Linked DNA regions of Arabidopsis thaliana. The protein of the gene in region 2 interacts with the protein of the main gene of each other region in a pairwise test. Each region holds a gene or a part of one and is shown on either strand. Other genes may lie near its edges. The genes, in order: NST1, AT5G44260 and ATHB13.

Region 1 (3,761 bases), on a different chromosome or scaffold from region 2:
TATATTATAAATTTATTTATCACAAATAATAGAGGAGTGAGAATATTTTAGACAACGCAAATTTCTTTTATTTAGTTCTTATACTTTATTTTTTACCAAACGTTAATTAAAAAAATCACACATACATAATTTCTAAAAAAAATGTATTCTTCAAGTAATATATCTTTCTGAGTACTAGTTTATCTATTTATCTCCGTATTTAATAATCAAAAGTTACGTTTAAAATAGAAACAACTTTTATCAAACAAAATATATTAGAAAACGCATGGTACTGGCTACTGGAAAGAATCATGACCTGTAAATTTCTACAGTTTTCCCGTTTTATATAGTACTTAGAAACTTTGGATTTTCATAGCGCAACCAATAAACACATGGACTTAAGACACAAAAAAAGTTGGGTGCAATGTCATTAATCAAACTAAAAAAATAATGATTAAAAGCATGGAATTCCGAAAACGCAACAAAATGATTCTGTGTTTAGACAAATGCAGAAAGGCCTCTTAACTAATCTTAAATAAAGTCTTAGTTCCAACCACATAAACACTCCTTAGCTCCATTAATTTTGGTTTTCTTAATTACGTTTCTACACAAGTACACGTACTTACACATACAATTCCACAGTCTAAATGATAAAACTATGTGGTTTTTGACGTCATCGTTACCTTTCTGTCGTCTCACCTTTATATAGTGTCTCTAACAGAACGTAACAACCAAATGTTTAAAAAAATAAAAACAGCACCCCTTAATTAGGCTCATTCGTTTTGCACTAACCATACTACAAATCATCTCGAACGATCGAGCAAAGATTTGAAAAATAAATAAACGTATAACTCTAGAGATTTTCATTAGCTAAGAAAAGTGAAATCGATTGTTAATCCTATTTCAGACGGGACAGGAACACTCATTACCCAACTCTATCATCTCTCGAACACCAAACTATATCTACCGTTTGGGGCATTATTTCCCACTTTCTTTCGAAGACAATTTCCCATATATAACATATACACATTATTACTAATATATTTTTATAAATTTTCGTCACATCCCAAAAAAAAACACTCTTTGTCACATCAACTAGTTTTTTTGTAACGATCAAACCTTTTCGTTTAAAAAAAAAAAACTTTTGTAGTGTAAACGTTTATTTATCGATGAAAAAAGCCACATCTTCCGGAGGGAAACTTTTTAAGACACCCTATTTCGACTTTATTTTGTAAATACAGTGTGCATGTGCATATAAAGAGAGATATCATTTGTATAAATATCAAGAATTAGAAGAGAAAAAGAGAGAAGAAGACAATCTATTACTATTACGATGTGTGGGTTGTTAATTTGTTTAAAGGGAGCTTTTCTATAGAGATTTTTAAGGTCAAGGGTCATCGTTCGATGTGGGCTTGCTTCCTACAATCTAGTTGCCTTACGGGGCCTACTCTTTTTCTTTTGATAACTACATCACCTTTTTTTTCTCCGACAACTATATATCACTTTTTTTATGTTTTCCTTTTTTTCTTCACAATAATTCTTTACTCGTTGCAAATGTAAAGATACACAAAGTTACTTATTTTGTTTACGATGGTTCTTAGTAGTTTAAAGAATTAATGAATAAGATAAACCTAAACTTTGAAAAGACTAAAAAAAATGTATAACAACATACATTATACGTATTTGAAATAGTCCAAGTGATATTATGTCATTGATATTAGCACAAATAATTACGATGCCTGATATTGTCACATTTGATGATTTTAAGTTCTTGTAAAAGATAAGTGTAACTAAATCACTATAGTGAGGCCCACGTTTTAATTTCTAAACTAATTACAATGACAATAAAATAGCAAAACTATTTAAAACTAGACGCCAAAAAAAATTGAAACTAATAATTGTGAAAAAAGAACAAGAGAATAATAATCATTAATAATTGACAAGTGAAATTAATATATTGCTCTTGGAGGGTTATATTTTAATTTTCAAACTAAATAATGAATACAAATGGAAAAGCTAATGATAAGAGTTGAATTTTAATAATTAAGAAAAACAAAAAAAGGTGTACAAGGAGACACATGCGTTTTCCTCATGCATCTTGTTTTTATACAACAATATATATATATATATTGAGTCATTCTCTGCTAGCTCTCTCATCTCCAACTTTCAGTATGATATATAGTTACAATTAAATAAACCTCACATGCTCTATTCTTGCTTGATTTTTGAGTTAATCTTGAATCTCTTTGATGATGTCAAAATCTATGAGCATATCAGTGAACGGACAATCTCAAGTGCCTCCTGGGTTTAGGTTTCATCCGACCGAGGAAGAGCTGTTGCAGTATTATCTCCGGAAGAAAGTTAATAGCATCGAGATCGATCTTGATGTCATTCGCGACGTTGATCTCAACAAGCTCGAGCCTTGGGACATTCAAGGTTTATTTCCATAAAGAAATTTTTTATGAATTAATTTTCTCTCTTTCACACTCTCATAATCCAATTTTCCGAATTTATTAATTTTTCCATATATATGAAAGTGCTGTCTTGTCTATACTACTTTCGATTCATGACGTGATCTCATGTATCCTTTTACGAGAATATGACTAGAGTACAGAGAATCTACACTTAGTTGTTGATGTTGTTTGTTCATATTCGGAGTTAGTTACTGCAAAGACCAACATAGGTTTGGTTATTATACAATTTACTATTTAAGTTTTTTTCTTCTGATTATTTTTGTCGTTATGCAGAGATGTGTAAAATAGGAACAACGCCACAAAACGACTGGTATTTCTTTAGCCACAAGGACAAAAAATATCCGACGGGAACGAGAACTAACAGAGCCACTGCGGCTGGATTTTGGAAAGCAACTGGCCGCGACAAGATCATATATAGCAATGGCCGTAGAATTGGGATGAGAAAGACTCTTGTTTTCTACAAAGGCCGAGCTCCTCACGGCCAAAAATCTGATTGGATCATGCATGAATATAGACTCGATGACAACATTATTTCCCCCGAGGATGTCACCGTTCATGAGGTATGTATTAATTCCATCATAACCTAAATACGAGTTATTCAATCAAAGGATTTGGTCTCTTTTTTGAATATCTCATTTTACATCACAATCTCGATTTTGTTTTGATTAATTATTATTTCATTGACCATTATAAAAGTTGTTACTGATGATAAGATGTACAAGTAAAAAATATCATGTAATTAATATATATATAAAGGTAATTAATATATTTTAAAAAACAATATTTATGCAAAGTATGATCGTAATTTTCTTTAATAACATTATGAAAACTATCACATATTCGTTTTCGTTATTATTTTTTTCTTAAATTCCCAATATTTAATGATAATAGTTTTAGTTACTTCTTCCCACAAATATTTCTTTTCTCCTTTGTCATATACAGACGCACATGAAACTGAAATATGAATTTTCTTTTTCTTTTTGGTTTTAACCTAAATGGGATTAGTGCAAAACATGAACTTTGCTAATATATCTTAGTTGATTTTTGAATATTTAAGGTCGTGAGTATTATAGGGGAAGCATCACAAGACGAAGGATGGGTGGTGTGTCGTATTTTCAAGAAGAAGAATCTTCACAAAACCCTAAACAGTCCCGTCGGAGGAGCTTCCCTGAGCGGCGGCGGAGATACGCCGAAGACGACATCATCTCAGATCTTCAACGAGGATACTCTCGACCAATTTCTTGAACTTATGGGGAGATCTTGTAAAGAAGAGCTAAATCTTGACCCTTTCATGAAACTCCCAAACCT
Region 2 (3,761 bases):
GTAAACATTACATAGGAATTCGATCACAATGTAGTAGATATTACAAGTTCCAAGAGATCAATATAACAATAGAAGTTATGGACTCTCTTATTTAACAAAAAATACAGTAAAAATATATTTTTAAAGCACGACATAGTACTACAGACTCTTAATTAGCTCTCGTGGAAAAAATCGTAAATACTTTTTTAATAAACAATGTACCACGACGGACCTCCGCCGCGGCGCCGCCGTATAATTATTCCCGTCGGGAAAGATCTCAAGTAGTTCACAGTTGATGTCATACTGTTCATGTCAAAAGATCGTTCACCCATCCTAGATCAAGATCGCCACTAGAACCGACTTCAAAGCTATTTTTATCCCTAGCTTGGGCCGCCGCAGCTGCAGCCACCGAGAAATCGCTTAGCCGGCCACCACGTGGTGTGAATTCATCGCCAAAGAAGCTCGACGGTGGTGGCTGAAGCTGGCCATGGAGGTAACTTGGAGTTGAAGAAGGTGAAAGAGCAAATCGTAGAGGACTACTCTGTTGTAATTGGAGATCTCTGTCTCCGACATCAAGCCACGGCGGAAGACGGTGGTGGTGGTGGTTGCTGCTTAGATTCGATGAAGCGATCATCGTCGCCGTGGAAATGGGCATGGTAACGGGAGACGATGAAGAAGCTGCAAGTGCTTCCGTGAGACTTAAGGAATCTAAAGAACTAATCAGTTCGTTTAGTACGGCGGTGCGACGGCGGCTCAGCCGTGAAAATGCATCGGCTTTATCAGCTGGAGACAAAGGCGGAGACGATGAAGGTGATCGTGATAAATTCAAGAGAGTACTCGTCGGAGAATGGGAACAAAACAAGCAACATCGATTATTTTTATTGCTTAAAACCGATGCAGGGGATGACGACGGTGATCCACCGCAACCACCGGAAATATGATTCTCCGGGGACGGTGGAAGAACTCTCAGCTGACGTGGAGAATGAGCAAAGAAACAAACTTTCCTCTTACAATGCTTACCGTCTTTACAAGCTTCCGTACGGTAACGACTCGGATGAAGCCAACACTCGAAAACCCCGTGAGCGAAACCGCATTCATCACCACGGCTACAATCACCGTGACGGCTAAACTCAGGGCATACTTCTCCGGTGTAGTGAAACCGGCGAGGGTCACGGCGACGAGCCTTTTCACCGGGATGAGAGAAAGGACAGTCGGTCCAGTCATGGCTACGGCTACGCGTGCACCGTCGGATCTTGAATTCGTACATCCGGAAATGGTCTCCAGCGTAAGGATCCTCAGAGTCAGAGTCGTAACAATAGTCTTTCTGTTCTTTATAGTCGCGAAGGGGACTTGAAACTGACGACGGAGACTTGGCGGAGGAAAGAAGCTTCCTCGGTGGAATATCCACCGTTGGTCTACTGATGTGGCCGGATTTGTGATGTTCGACGTCCATGTCTACGTGGCGAAAGATGAGAGAAAGACTTTTTATTATACTTTTGTGTATTTGTTTCCTATTTGGGTTTGAATGAGAGAGAGATAGGAAGAGATAAGTGTGGGATAAAATGATAGATGCCTAATTGTCTCTATATATATGCGTTAGTGGATACATCCATATACATGGTTTGAGATAAAAGATAATAAGACGTTGACAAAAAAATATCAAGGATGTTTTAGAATGCTAAAATTGCAGTGCTTCTATGGTGGACGTGGTTATATTCGTTTTTAGATATTTTGCTTAAGAACACAACAATTGATTTAAATTATGATTAAAAATAGTCAAAATATCAACATATGTATTGAATAACTTATTTTTTTGAAATAGATAAAATAAAATAAAAAGGAAACATATTGATATTAATTTATCCACATTTTTTTTTTGTTAAAAGGCTTTAATTTATCCACATTTTATTAATTAGTTTTAGTTCATGAGTATATTTTTAAACAGGAAATAAAATCTGAAACAATTAGTACATTATATTCATTTAAATGATTCGTATTTAAAGTATATCTTAGTGTTGATTTAAATTGACAAAAAAGAAAAAGGTATACGTATTGTAAGTTATTTAGTGGAAAAGAAATGATGATGTGTAGAGTTATAAGAAGGAGACAAAAGGGAAGAGTTCGTGGCGAAAGAATATTAAGATAGGTTCATGCAATTCAGCAGGAGCTGGCGGTTTCTTACGGATATCGAGTCATTGTTTCTGAATAATTCGATATTTTTTAAGGTAGGCATATTTACATCATTACATGCATGTATTAGCTTCATATTCTCGACCTAAAACTTAAAAGTACTAATACTATAATAATGGTCATCATGAGTCATGACTCAGTGATAACTCTAGAGTAAACTTTGCAACACAGAACGCATGTGTGATGCTATACTAAATATATATAGAAATGGCATTATCTTCGAACATTGTGATTAGTCTTAACAGGTTTGAGGTGTTAAACAAGGGTGGATCTCTTTATTGGTTACGTGGCTCGCATGGAAACGAAGATCCTTTGGTTTTTCCTTCCAATCGGTTACTCTTTTCTTAAGGACAATTGTTTTAAACACGCATAGTTATGAAGAAATAACGCATATATATGATATTTTGTTTTAAAATCGATATGTTTTATACATTTATTTTATTTTTGTTACTGCACATTTTGCTTATTTTAAAATTTATTGATTAGTTGTCCAATCCAAATTTTTTTTTATGAATAAATCATTAGCTAAAAAGTCTATTTAAAATTTTAAATAACAGATAAGACAACAAAAAGAAATTGAGAAGAAATCTTTCATTCAAGTCATCAAGTGTCCCTTCAGCATTGTATTAAAAGTGGAAATTATCTAAATCAATACTTCAAATTTGTTGGAAGTATACTAGTATAAAGATATACTTTTTTTGTAAGAAAACTGAATTCGAAATCTAACGAAAATGACACAAATATATGCTAGATTCAACTTTTAAAATGTGGCTGCCACATTCTCTAAACCAAAATAGTCAAAATCTGGAGAAAAAAAAGAACCAAACTAATATAAACAAGACCAAAATTGAATACCCATACACATAGAACCATATTTCTTGAACACCCCAAAGCAAACTGGCCCACACAACCCCTCAAGACTTTAAACCCTGCATAAAACCAAACACATGCTACATTATTAATAGTTTTGAATATACAACACAACAACATAACTAGTTTATATAAAAAAGATCATCTTAAATCAAAACCCAAACCAATCTCGAATCTTTCTCCACTTAAAGTAAAATTTAATGTTTATAAACTTACGTGGAGCAATCCATGCTAGAGGAGATAGGGAAACTGAGATGTGTGTTGCAAAGAAGAGGAAGCTGTTGGATCTTATCAGCCAACATTGGAGGCGTATAACCTCTCGTCATCATCTCAACACAATTACACAAAAGCCTCGGGTTCTCTTTTTTGTGTTTCGCAATTATGTTAAGTTTTACGATATGGACACAACATTTTTTACCGGGTTTGTAGTAATATCCCGTGAGAAAGTCTAGACAATAAGAAAAGTAATCATATGTGTATGCACAAAATGGTACGTACGAGTGAACCTGAATCATTAGCCTAGTGTAATCGGAGATCACGAGAAGCAGTAGAAGTGAAATCGCGACTAATTTAGTGGTGTGTGTATCCATTTCTAGACTTCGAATTAATTGATATACACAATGAGACCAACCTTAGACTAATTTGTACATAGTAGTTCAGTATTAGTGATCATGCTTATTTCATGAGTTTTTGTTGTTGTTGATGGTTGTGTCATCGTATAC
Region 3 (3,761 bases), on a different chromosome or scaffold from region 2:
TGCTAATTGTATAACTTTTTTGTAATTGGTCAATCAATATTACTCTACATATATACATATAGCATTACCAGTAGTCAATTGATTTCTTGTTTCGTTTTGGTATCTGTCTTGCGGTTGATAGGTTAGGTCAAAGCTAATAGGTTTGATGAGATCAGATTTGATGTACCATGATTCTCATAGACATGATCTAGAATTTCAAATACATGTTACAAGATTGTTGATCATGGACATACGTATAATCCATGCTTTTGTATATATTGTAAGTCTATTTACAGTTTCAATATAATTTTTTCGTTTAAACGCTATTTTGAGATGGTGATTGCTTTTCCATTCTATTTCAGACCAAATTTCAATTATGTTTGGACCGATCATACTTTTTAGACTTATTGAACTTTAATTTCATACAAAAATGATGAATTCTAAATAAAAACGAAGTAACAATACATATAGAGAAATTCTACACTACTATATTTTGTTAGTTTAATTTCTACTTTTTCACCTTTTTAGCGATAGACTTTAGCAGTTACCTATAAAGATTAACTATATACGTTCCATATTCTGAACTAAAAGATTAAACTAAGGTTCTGAATGAAGACCGTATTAGATAAGGTGGGTGGTGTAAGACGGACACCTAAAATAATATATTTTCTTATGAACTCTGATGTTATTCTGACTGCCTTGATCTTTCCAATTCACCCGCAATCGTTTTTATTTGAAGAATGAAAACGAACAAATTTAAAGTAACTATATATCCGACTAAAAAAAAAATCACAGTTATACTATGGTTTACAAGTGCAGCTATTATCTTCTTCTTTTGTTAAATATTTCAATCTTCCTTTTTCACATCAAAATAATCAAAACTAGCATCATAGAACATCTGAAAATCAATAATATCACTTCTCTCTTCTTCCCACAAAAAATAAAATAAAATTATGTACAATCCCTAGATCCACAGGTCTAGGTCAATCCATGTAGACACAATACGATTATTTGATGGGTCTATATATAGTCCATACGTACTAGCGTGATTAAATAGGATCAACATTGGACCCATTCACTATCCAGCTTCGTCCCTACCCCAATATCACTACATCATTATATATATGAAATTAATTTACATCAATAGAAGTATGAAAGGCGTTAGTTAGCTACTTATTACATATGTTCTCAGCCTATGCAAATGATTTAGCGAAAAATAAATTGTAAATTAAGTTCTTTAGAAATAAATTTAGATGATAAAAAGAGAGAGAGAGACACAACTTTGATAGTTATGATTTAAGATGAGAATTGGACTTACAAAAAAAAGGACAAATCTAATAAAAGAAAAAGTTATTAGATAAAATTTAAAGGACAAGTATGATGAGTGAGAGAGAACACCTCTCTGCATGTCTCTCCCAAGGGGAAAAAGAAGAGTCCTTTCTCTTCTTACCATTTTGATTATCATCTCTTCATTTTCCACTTTGTACGCAAGCTAAACCCCCTTGTAATTTGCTTCCTTTTTTCATTTTCAACAATATTTAGGATTATGCCAATTTGATATGAGTAATAACACAACGAAAACACTAAGATTACATGTTTTGGTCAATTCTACGATTTTTAATCTGCAATTACATTTATTTATTTTTTAACCCCATTTTTTTTGTTCTATCTCCAACTAAAAGTAGATATTACACCTCAATATCATATTCAAAGTTCAAACTGTGTCTTTTGTTGTGGTCTGATGCAAATTTTATTTATAGATGAATCTCAGCGCACCACACAATAATCCACTATCCTAAAGACTAAAGAGTAAGTATATACCAGGGTAAATTAAATTGGATCCCACTTTTACTTGGAAGCCAACAATGGTTAAAAAAATATCTATCTATAAACGATTGTCGAAAATGAAGATAAAATTGGAGTTAATAATTATATATACTTTGGCTTAACGTAAATGAAGTTTAAGCTTGTATTTGATCGTGTTATTTTTATTTTTTTTAACGAGAGAATCAATTGAGTGCGTCTCTTTCTCTTCTCAGCTCATATGTCCTCTCTCTCTCTCTCTCAGCCTTTCTATATAAAACGAAATAAAGAAGAAATTAAATACCAGAAGTGGTATAGTCTAGGCCGATACATTTCACTATCTCTCTCTCTTTTGTTTTTCCTCTTCTTCTTTTTTTCCATTTGATTTCAAACTCTCACACAAAGAGCTTCAGATTTATAAGACCATGATAATGGCTTTAAGACAAAGATTGGCAAGAAGAAAAAACTAAAGAGAAACGACCAAAATCTCAAGCAAACAGTACTAACTTCTGTTGCAAAACAGAAGAAGATGTCTTGTAATAATGGAATGTCTTTTTTCCCTTCAAATTTCATGATCCAAACCTCTTACGAAGATGATCATCCTCATCAATCTCCATCTCTTGCTCCTCTTCTTCCTTCTTGCTCTCTACCTCAAGATCTCCATGGTATATATACATAAACTTCCACACACATCTCCTCTGTTTTCTCTCTATCTCTTTCTAATGCTCTGTTCTGTTCTGTTTCAGGATTTGCTTCGTTTCTAGGTAAGAGATCTCCAATGGAAGGGTGTTGTGATTTAGAAACAGGGAACAATATGAATGGAGAAGAGGATTATTCAGATGATGGGTCACAAATGGGAGAGAAGAAGAGGAGATTGAACATGGAACAAGTGAAGACACTAGAGAAGAACTTTGAGCTTGGAAACAAACTTGAACCAGAGAGGAAAATGCAGCTAGCTCGTGCCTTAGGTTTGCAACCAAGACAGATCGCGATTTGGTTTCAAAATCGAAGAGCTCGTTGGAAAACAAAGCAGCTAGAGAAAGATTATGATACTCTTAAACGACAGTTTGATACACTTAAAGCTGAAAATGATCTTCTTCAAACTCATAATCAGAAACTCCAAGCTGAGGTAATTAATCTCATAAATTAACAAAAAAAATCAATATGTGTTATTTTTTTTTGGGTTAATGATCAATAATTACAGTTATTTTCCATCTAAAGGATGATTTTTTTCTTTTTAAAAAAGGTTAAAAATTATATTTCTGGTTTATAATTATTTGGATCAGGAGTTGCTTTCAGGTAGGGTTAAAAAACTGGACATGATTCATGACTTTTCAGACATCATTATCTCTTTTTTTCTTCACTCTTGTCTGGAAAGAGATCTGAAAACAATAGTTTCTTTATGCTTATCACATTGTACAGTAACTCTGTTTATGTTTAAAATTTTGTCTTTAATTACGCAGATAATGGGATTAAAAAACAGAGAACAAACAGAATCAATAAATCTAAACAAAGAAACTGAAGGATCTTGCAGTAACAGAAGTGATAACAGTTCAGATAATCTCAGACTAGATATCTCAACTGCGCCGCCATCAAACGACAGTACATTAACCGGTGGCCACCCACCGCCACCACAGACAGTTGGTCGACACTTCTTCCCACCGTCGCCAGCCACCGCAACGACAACTACTACAACAATGCAGTTCTTTCAAAACTCATCTTCAGGACAGAGTATGGTTAAAGAAGAGAATAGTATCAGTAACATGTTCTGTGCAATGGATGACCATTCTGGTTTTTGGCCATGGCTTGATCAGCAACAGTACAATTGAAATTGGTCTACCTGTTTTTTTTGTTTTTGTTTTTAAAAAAATTTATATTTTTTTTTTTTGTATTTGGAATTTTGATCAGAAGAACCCATGCATGTTTTCAAAAACTGGAATCTATATCATTAGCTCACTTTGAAATCTGCAACCAAACAC

What was found.
Region 1: the proteins of AT5G44260 (region 2) and NST1 interact in a two-hybrid assay, tested with the Arabidopsis thaliana proteins (one large-scale study listed by BioGRID).
Region 3: the proteins of AT5G44260 (region 2) and ATHB13 interact in a two-hybrid assay, tested with the Arabidopsis thaliana proteins (one large-scale study listed by BioGRID).

Annotation. Positions count from the first base shown.
Region 1 is NC_003071.7:19,221,290-19,225,050, reverse strand, and holds the start of NST1 (NAC (No Apical Meristem) domain transcriptional regulator superfamily protein), read left to right. Parts: upstream 1-2,134; 5' UTR 2,135-2,228; coding exon 2,229-2,415; intron 2,416-2,726; coding exon 2,727-3,013; intron 3,014-3,510; coding exon 3,511-3,761. UniProt on the Arabidopsis thaliana protein: Transcription activator of genes involved in biosynthesis of secondary walls.
Region 2 is NC_003076.8:17,829,688-17,833,448, forward strand, and holds the start of AT5G44260 (Zinc finger C-x8-C-x5-C-x3-H type family protein), read right to left. Parts: upstream 1,650-3,761; 5' UTR 1,433-1,649; coding exon 287-1,432; 3' UTR 1-286. Other genes in the region: AT5G44265 (Bifunctional inhibitor/lipid-transfer protein/seed storage 2S albumin superfamily protein), read right to left, coding at 3,092-3,098, 3,256-3,629.
Region 3 is NC_003070.9:26,256,855-26,260,615, forward strand, and holds the start of ATHB13 (Homeobox-leucine zipper protein family), read left to right. Parts: upstream 1-1,933; 5' UTR 1,934-2,311; coding exon 2,312-2,447; intron 2,448-2,528; coding exon 2,529-2,911; intron 2,912-3,245; coding exon 3,246-3,611; 3' UTR 3,612-3,761. UniProt on the Arabidopsis thaliana protein: Probable transcription factor that may act in the sucrose-signaling pathway.